Xenopus tropicalis: one gene and its partner. The protein of the gene in region 1 interacts with the protein of each later gene in a pairwise test. Links are inferred from orthologs where the notes say so. Each region holds a gene or a part of one and is shown on either strand. Other genes may lie near its edges. The genes, in order: ruvbl2 and dpcd.

Region 1 (4,550 bases):
AGTAACCAATAGCAACTGGGCAGCTTTGTTTAGCCACTCGCAGGAAGAATAGTTAAATGACAACTAAACCTAAAATTGCTAGAATGTGGCAGCCACACCTTCTCTAATCTCTGGCCTCCTTTCCCAGGCTGGTGCTCCATTCTATTTAATGTAAAGCACCTTGTTGCTGCCTCCCTGCTTTCTTCTAGGTACCACTGAGGCTGTAGGTTAGTGACTGGTATCATGGCTGTCATGGTCGGACTGGGCTGTGAGACACTGGGGAAAAAAACCCGGGGGGCCCCGCCGACCCAGACCCGATACCTGTAAGTGCTGCTGCAACCCTGCTGCCTTTCCTCTATGTTTGTGGCTAAGTAAATGTAGGTGAGTGTAGTGGGGGCCCCGGGCACCCAGCCCAACACTGCTAACAATATGGCACCCCACCACAAATGTATGTGTATTTTTCCTCTTTACAGCAAACATTTGTATTTCATTGGTTGCCATAGGTTACTTCATCAGGACAGTTTTGCTCTATGTTAGTCAACATATAGTGCCCAGGGAGAGGCAGCAGGAACCTGACCAGGCCAAATGGGGTATAGGGGGCACTGCATATAAAAGAGTAACCCAGATCTACACACTAGCTCCAGAGAAACAGCCTATAACAGATATGAGATACTTTTCCTGTGGCTATGCATAGGTTCAGGTTTGTAGTTACATGGCGTAAGATTTCATTCCTTTATCATTATTGGAAAGTGAAAAAGAGCTCTTGTTTCTATGCAGTATATTCAGGCCTCTTAGTGCAGCCAGCCTCACCAGAACTGAAACATTTACTCCATAGCATTCTGCTCAGTTGACTGCAAAAAGCTGAACTATGGTTGCCATGGGGTTCTGCATCACCGTAGGGCATGCATCTGTTTGTAAATTCCCCCCTCTGTGAAATGTGTTGGTGTGTATGGCCACTTTTATATGGAGCAGTAGTGTTGGTTCATGGTAAGCAAATTAATTACTCTATAGTTGAATGCAATGTAGACCAAAGATGCTTTCCTCCAGCCTTTCCATCATCCTTGGATATAGCCATGCAGTAGCTAGGGGGGTTGCTTGTGGTGTAGTGGCAGAGGTATGCTGAATATTCTGGGCCTCTGGGGATGAATTATTTAACACGGTGTTAGTCTCAGTAGCTTTGTTTTGCTTGTTCCTGGATAGACAGTCTGCCAGTTTAGCCCATCTTTTTTTGTATGACCAAAAAAAAAAAAAAAACAGCTTCCTGGTTACGAATTGTCCAGAATAAGGCAGATTTTTAGTGCAAATGTTAGTAAATCCTTTCAATTAGATAAACTGCTCACCTGCTTGAGCTGTTATTTCACATCATACTCCCTGTCAGATGGCTTGTGTTGCCTGGTGTGACAGGGGTGTATGTAGTTGCTCTTGAGTACTATAAGAGTAAAATGACTCCAGTTCCATGAATTACCCGTGTGTTTTGGGTATCCTATAGCAGGACAGTTTGCCTTGGTTCTTACCATCCCGTATCCTATTGTTGGAGAATTTGCTTTGCAAACAACCTTGATTTGTTACTAGGAAACCGTTTGTTAACGGGGAAGATCCTTAGGGCAGACTGTTAGGATGGTAATGACAGGCATAGGCCGAGGCAGTTTGCAGTTGTTCTTATATAAAGGTAGGGCTAAATGGGCATGAGGTGGACAAAAAACAATGTTCAGCTCACAACATGCAGGGGTGGGGCAAATACATTTGGAATTCTCAAGAGGTAATCTCACATTCTGTAGAAAACATTGGTGAATCTTTATAAGCCAATGTCTCCTGCATTTATTTTGCTGCTGAGTTGTAATTAGTATTTCATGCATTGATGTCTAAAGGAAACCGTGATCAATATTCATGGTTATTTATGTCTCATAGACAACCAAGGTGCCAGAGGTGCGAGATGTCACCCGGATTGAGAGGATTGGTGAGTGTAAAAATACTACAAAAATAAACACAAAAATAACCTGCTAAACATGATGTGGTTCCCATGTAGCCCTCCTATTCAAATAACTGAATATTTTAGAACTCATGTATTCACCTCCATTGCATCGTGACACTTTTTGTTTCCATGGGCAGCAGTGCAGTTTAATCAACAAACAGTCTCCTTGGTGATAAATAGCTACAGAGGGTTGTAACTTTGCTGCAATCCCAGGCATTAGCATCACAAAGTTCCATCACTATTTTCATTTACTTTCAAGCCAAATGTGTTTAATTTTATTTATCTAATTGCAACAACAATTTTAAACGCGCATTATACACCCCTTTTCAAAAATTTTGAGTGCTGAGCATAATTTTTTGCCTGTTTAAAGTAAGAAATATGTTGCTAATAAGGAATGCCCACAGTGCCTTTTTTCCTACACTTTGGTCAAGCTGTTGGCTCTGTGCCAGATTATTTTGATAACATATATATATACTATATATGATAAAATAAAACATATATATTGCTTAACAAATATCCAAATAATAAAATATTTCAAGGAAACAATTTGTACATGTAATTGCAAATGAAAGCAGTGTCTGTTTATGTTTTTCTCTAACTCGCTTAAGACAATATATATTCACCTCCATATCCATTAAATCAAACAGCGGCTTCCAAGCCAAAATTAGTTAAAGAGCCCCACACAACACAGAAACCCCTAATATACCTATCCCTGTAATCTGTTCCATTAAAAAGTATGAATAAATACCATTTTATATGCTGAAATCCAGCTGTAAAACATTTATTTTTCTGCATTTGGCATCCTAGCATTAGCACGTGTAACAGTGCATATTAATTGTATGAGGTAGTCTGGGTATGTATAGATTAATACAAAAGATATCCAACACATTAAAATTAGTCTGTGTTTTGTGTTTCCTACCTATTAACTGCTTATTTTTGTGTATATAGTCTAACATTTGTCTCTCTTTGCCAGGCGCACATTCTCACATCAGAGGGCTTGGCCTTGACGATGCGTTGGAACCCCGTCAGGTACTGAAAGCGCTCTAATACTATAATATGAATGGTTATGAATTTTTGCTTATAATGACACTGGTTAGCGTTAGACAAGCAAGTGGCAGATTGGATACGTGTCGATCTGTCCTTCCTTCTAAAAGTAAATTTAACATCATATGTGCAGGGAATTGTGGGATTTGGAGTATGCTGGCTGAAGGCAGGCTTGTCAGCCAGATCAGCAGGAGAACAGGGGGCAGGGCTAAGGGAACTGTTCTAAACCATATTACATACAGTGGTGTGAAAAACTATTTGCCCCCTTCCTGATTTCTTATTCTTTTGCATGTTTGTCACGCTTAAATGTTTCTGCTCATCAAAAACCGTTAACTATTAGTCAAAGATAACACAAGTAAACACAAAATGCAGTTTTTAAATGAGGGTTTTTATTATTTAGGGAGAAAAAAAATCCAAACCTACATGGCCCTGTGTGAAAAAGTAATTGCCCCCTGAACCTAATAACTGGTTGGGCCACCCTTAGCAGCAATAACTGCAATCAAGCGTTTGCGATAACTTGCAACGAGTCTTTTACAGCGCTCTGGAGGAATTTTGGCCCACTCATCTTTGCAGAATTGTTGTAATTCAGCTTTATTTGAGGGTTTTCTAGCATGAACCGCCTTTTTAAGGTCATGCCACAACATCTCAATAGGATTCAGGTCAGGACTTTGACTAGGCCACTCCAAAGTCTTCATTTTGTTTTTCTTCAGCCATTCAGAGGTGGATTTGCTGGTGTGTTTTGGGTCATTGTCCTGCTGCAGCACCCAAGATCGCTTCAGCTTGAGTTGAAGAACAGATGGCCGGACATTCTCCTTCAGGATTTTTTGGTAGACAGTAGAATTCATGGTTCCATCTATCACAGCAAGCCTTCCAGGTCCTGAAGCAGCAAAACAACCCCAGACCATCACACTACCACCACCATATTTTACTGTTGGTATGATGTTCTTTTTCTGAAATGCTGTGTTACTTTTACGCCAGATGTAACGGGACACGCACCTTCCAAAAAGTTCAACTTTTGTCTCGTCGGTCCACAAGGTATTTTCCCAAAAGTCTTGGCAATCATTGAGATGTTTTTTAGCAAAATTGAGACGAGCCATAATGTTCTTTTTGCTTAAAAGTGGTTTGCGCCTTGGAAATCTGCCATGCAGGCCGTTTTTGCCCAGTCTCTTTCTTATGGTGGAGTCGTGAACACTGACCTTAATTGAGGCAAGTGAGGCCTGCAGTTCTTTAGATGTTGTCCTGGGGTCTTTTGTGGCCTCTCGGATGAGTTGTCTCTGCGCTCTTGGGGTAATTTTGGTCGGCCGGCCACTCCTGGGAAGGTTCACCACTGTTCCATGTTTTTGCCATTTGTGGATAATGGCTCTCACTGTGGTTCGCTGGAGTCCCAAAGCTTTAGAAATGGCTTTATAACCTTTACCAGACTGATAGATCTCAATTACTTTTGTTCTCATTTGTTCCTGAATTTCTTTGGATCTTGGCATGATGTCTAGCTTTTGAGGTGCTTTTAGTCTACTTCTCTGTGTCAGGTAGCTCCTATTTAAGTGATTTCTTGATC
Region 2 (4,462 bases), about 83 Mb from region 1:
TCACGAAAGTCATAATGGCTATGAAAAAGTCACGACAATTCACGAAAGTCATAATGGCTATGAAAAAGTTGCGACAATTCACAAAAGTCATAATGGCTATGAAAAAGACGCGACAATTCACGAAATTTGTAATGGCTATAATAAAGTCGCGACAATTCGCGCAAGTCATAACGGTTACGAAAAAGTCGCGACAATTTACGAAAAAAATCACAAAAAATACGAAAAAGTCGCAAAATGTTAGTTTTCCAATCCGAATTTTTCTCATTCGGATTCGTGGATTAGTAAATCAGCCCCTATATGTGGCTTTAACTCGCAGACTGGGGTTACCTGATGATGGGATTTCCAGCCAAAACTATCAACCCGGGCAGAGTCATTAAGAAAGGACTGTGTTTCTATGTAGCATCTGCCTGATGGGAGTTTCCTGCCAGAAATATCATTACCTGGCCAAACCCTGAGTAGATACAGGTAGGGAGATCATCGCTTTTGCCCTGTGCATCGGCCATTAGGCTGCAGACTGCCAAGAGAGGCAGAGTTGGCTTACAATATCAACCCACATATGGCCAGCTTACTGGCAATGGCACAGAGAGACTGGCAGTGGGGAGGCAGTAAAACTCACAATTGCCCTCTACTTTTTTTTATGGTATCGTCTGGACTGGTGATTACTGTTAACCCCAATGGGAGGCATTTCTTGACCTCCCATTGACCAATAAAGTCAATGGAGCTTTTTCCACCAAAGGGAATCTCCCCATTGCCCTCAGAGTCAGTGGGCTTATATATAGGAACCAGTGGCTAGGGTTACCACAAAATGAACCCAGGGCTGCTAAATCAATCTTTTCGTCCTTCTAGTAAAATTGGCATTATTCCCCCACCCTACCCTACCCCACCCCACCCCACCCCAAGCAATAAACAGTAGCAAATAATATAAGTACACTTAATAACAGACCATTGTGATTGCCTAATGTTCTGCTATACAAACAGCTACACTAAGGAAGGTAATCAATACTTTCTCTTATGGAACCCAAACCCTAAGTAACAGTACGGTTTAATGTGTGATTATGTGTTATTTTCTTTCCCCAGCAGCTCTCCAGCCATCTCGGAGGGAGATGTAGTTCCACGATTCTATATATCACTGCTATAGATCACTGCGCCCAAATAGTTACATGGAAAATACACACACAGCGCCCCAAACAGAGAAACAAACAGTAACTTATCGCTTTGTCCCCCCCTCACATTCACTTACTAGAGTTCAACACCACATCTATAAACATACACGGACATTTAATTAGGTCACTTCCGTATCCGGATGACTCGGAAGTGGTCACCGGAGTCCATTGCTTAATGAGCCCGATAATAAGAGAATATATAATATCCCGTTACAGCAGTAGCTTTGTAGAGACGTTTTATATTTTGGGATAGGTATGTTGATAGGTTTTGTGTACACGTTACAAGGCAGTCCGCTGCGTTACTATGGCAACTCAGGTCGGTTTGCCTAAGAGGCCGGCAAGCTTTGGGTTGCTATAGTAACTCGGCCCCGCGTGTGACAGGTTCCAAGATGGCGCTTCCAAGCTGGCTGGAGAGTCTGAAGGCTGCGCAGAAAACGTGCATTTTACAGGATGGTGAGTGTTCTTGTGGGAACGCAGTCACATCGGCTTGGGCTTTAATGCTGTGAGAAAGATATAGAGCTAACGTTAACCATATTCATTCATTCAACCTCCTCAATAACCAAATCCCATGCTTTATTTGTATAGCGCCTACACAGATTATATTCAATACACTGCCCTGGTGGAGTTTAAAATCTTAGGCCATAAACATGTAAACTATGTCCAGCCAGTAGCCTGGTAAAGCTGAACAAACTCGCAGGGGAACTGCTGAACTGATAACTGAGGATACATAAGCAGAAATTCAGGAGGGCTGTGATTGGCTATTTGGTAGCCCCTATGTGGGCTGGCAGCCAAGAGAAGGCTCTGTGTGGCTTTACACTGGGTTTTTATGCAACCAAAACTTGCCTCCAAGTCAATAATTCAAAAATAAGCCCCTGCTTTGAGGCCACTGGGAGTAACACCCATGTTGCTCACAGGACACTGGCTGGGGATAAGGTTTTAGACCAAATTGTTAGGTTCTGTCAGTTAATAGTCCCATAACCAAAGATGATTTACAACAGGACCTGCAGGTTTAGTTCAATAAAGGACAACTAATCCCATGCATAATAACAAGCATATAACAAACAAGTCTCATATTTGATCTCCCCCCAATCAAATCCTTCTATTCTTACCTAGGGGCTTAATGTCTCATTTTTTTTTTTTAGTTTAGGGCGAGGTCACACAAAGCGCATACCCACTTCTCTCAATCCTGCGTTTTTTCGGCCAGGCTGAGAGAAGCGGATCTGCTTTCTTGTGCTTCTCTGTGTGCCTGCATTAAAGGTTATGGCAACTGCCTGAGTGTGGGCACACGGGAAAAAAACCCAAAAGCATAGGGAAGCAGATCTGCTTCTCTCAGCCTGTTTGAAAAACGTAGGGTTGAGAGAAGGATATATACACTTAGGGGCTGATTTACTAACCCACGAATCCGACCCGAATTGGAAAAGTTCCGACTTGAAAACGAACATTTTGCGACTTTTTCCTATGTTTTGCGATTTTTTCGGATTCTGTACGAATTTTTCGTTACCAATACGATTTTTGCGTAAAAACGCGAGTTTTCCGTATCCATTACGAAAGTTGCGTAAAAAGTTGCGCATTTTGCGTAGCGTTAAAACTTACGCGAAAAGTTGCGCATTTTTCGTAGCGTTAAAACTTAACGCTACGAAAAATGCGCAACTTTTCGCGTAAGTTTTAACGCTACGCAAAAATCGCAAAATACCGATCATTACGAAAAAAACGCAATCGGACTCCATTCGACCCGTTCGTGGGTAAGTAAATCAGCCCCTAAGTGTGACCTCGCCCATAGGTAGATAAGTGTGTATCCAGAGTTTATGTGTATGTGTGCAACTCCCATATGTGTGTGTGTGTCACCTTTGCCTGTGGTCACAAGGCAATGTAAGAGCTTATGGAAGAATGTAAATGCCAGCCACAGCACAGTGAGAGTGGGTGCTAGGAAGTGTTACCAGCCACAGCACAGTGAGAGTGGGTGCTAGGAAGTGTTACCAGCCACAGCACAGTGAGGGTGGGTGCTAGGAAGTGTTACCAGCCACAGCACAGTGAGAGTGGGTGTTAGGAACTGTTTGTATATATATATGCTCAGTTACAGTATATACACACACACACACACACACACAGGTATGGGATCTATTATCCAGAAACCTTGCAGAAAGCTAAGTTATGGGAAGGCCATTTTCTATAGTGTCCATTTTAATCAAATAATTCTCATTTTTAAAATTCTTTTTATTTTTTCTGTAATAAAAAACAGTACCTTAACTGTCTTGCTGGGTTTAATTAATTGGTAGTAGACTTTAAGAATGGTGAAAAAAATAAATTATTGGGAAAACCCCAGGTCCCAAGCATTCAGGATTATAGATTCTATACTTAGTGGTGCAACTATAAAGGAAACACAAACTGCGGTCACAGGGGGCCTGGACCACGGGGTTTGGTTCCTCTATAGCTCTATAAAATTGAGTTGGCAGCTGGGGAGAGGGGGGTATTGAGTTGGCGGCTGGGGAGAGGGGGGTATTGAGTTGGCGGCTGGGGAGAGGGGGGTATTGAGTTGGCGGCTGGGGAGAGGCTGATAGAGGTTGCAGTGCGCACCAGGCCCCAAATCTGACAGGCTGTTGGCCTGTGACAACCAGTGCCACTTTGCCCATAGGCAAGCTATTAACAACTCATATTGTCATGAAAGCAGAGTCTAAGTATAGTTAACCAGAAATGAAGAATGAAGTCTGTTATTTTTCCATCCCAGAGTATCACTATGTAAATGTGAGATCTGAGCATACTCGCAATCTGGCCAGAGTATGGGCATAAGCACAAGTGCCATCACCAAGGCATCCCATAAATAGGCATCCCCATTCCACCATCAATGTGGCCCACACACAGCCATCGTTGTTTTGAGCTGCAACATTAGTGGTGGCATCAACCCCTCCATACTGTCCCCTGTGACAATGGGCAAGTTTGCACTAGTGCAGAAACTAAAGGCAACCAGTAACATTCTAGTACTTCATGCAGATGTGTGAACAAACCTGCTGGTTGCCGTGGGTTACTGCCCAGTTGCAGATTTTAAAAATAAGAACTTTGGCTTCATCAATATGCGTAATGTAAATTCAATATTTATGCACACTTTGAGTTCTCTGGGCTGTCTTAGACCTGTCCTAGACCTATTGAAGCTACTGATTCATGTGGCTGGTAAGTGTGCATCTGTACTTAAATAAATACATTTCTGTGGCACTGCTACACTTGTTTGCTTGTGTCTGGCTGCTGCCAGCTAAGCATGCTTAGGGAATACAGAATGTAGAACCCAGACAGATAACCCCTGGACA

What was found.
Region 2: the proteins of ruvbl2 (region 1) and dpcd interact in binary tests that used the Homo sapiens proteins (3 or more experiments, as listed by UniProt). The two-hybrid records come from large-scale screens. The link is inferred for Xenopus tropicalis from reciprocal best matches to the Homo sapiens genes RUVBL2 and DPCD.

Annotation. Positions count from the first base shown.
Region 1 is NC_030683.2:113,417,021-113,421,570, reverse strand, and holds the start of ruvbl2 (ruvB-like 2), read left to right. Parts: upstream 1-1,691; 5' UTR 1,692-1,887; coding exon of another isoform or gene 1,888-1,936; intron 1,937-2,924; coding exon of another isoform or gene 2,925-2,980; intron 2,981-4,550. UniProt on the Homo sapiens protein: Possesses single-stranded DNA-stimulated ATPase and ATP-dependent DNA helicase (5' to 3') activity; hexamerization is thought to be critical for ATP hydrolysis and adjacent subunits in the ring-like structure contribute to the ATPase activity.
Region 2 is NC_030683.2:30,780,229-30,784,690, forward strand, and holds the start of dpcd (protein DPCD), read left to right. Parts: upstream 1-1,349; 5' UTR 1,350-1,552; coding exon 1,553-1,616; intron 1,617-4,462. UniProt on the Homo sapiens protein: May play a role in the formation or function of ciliated cells.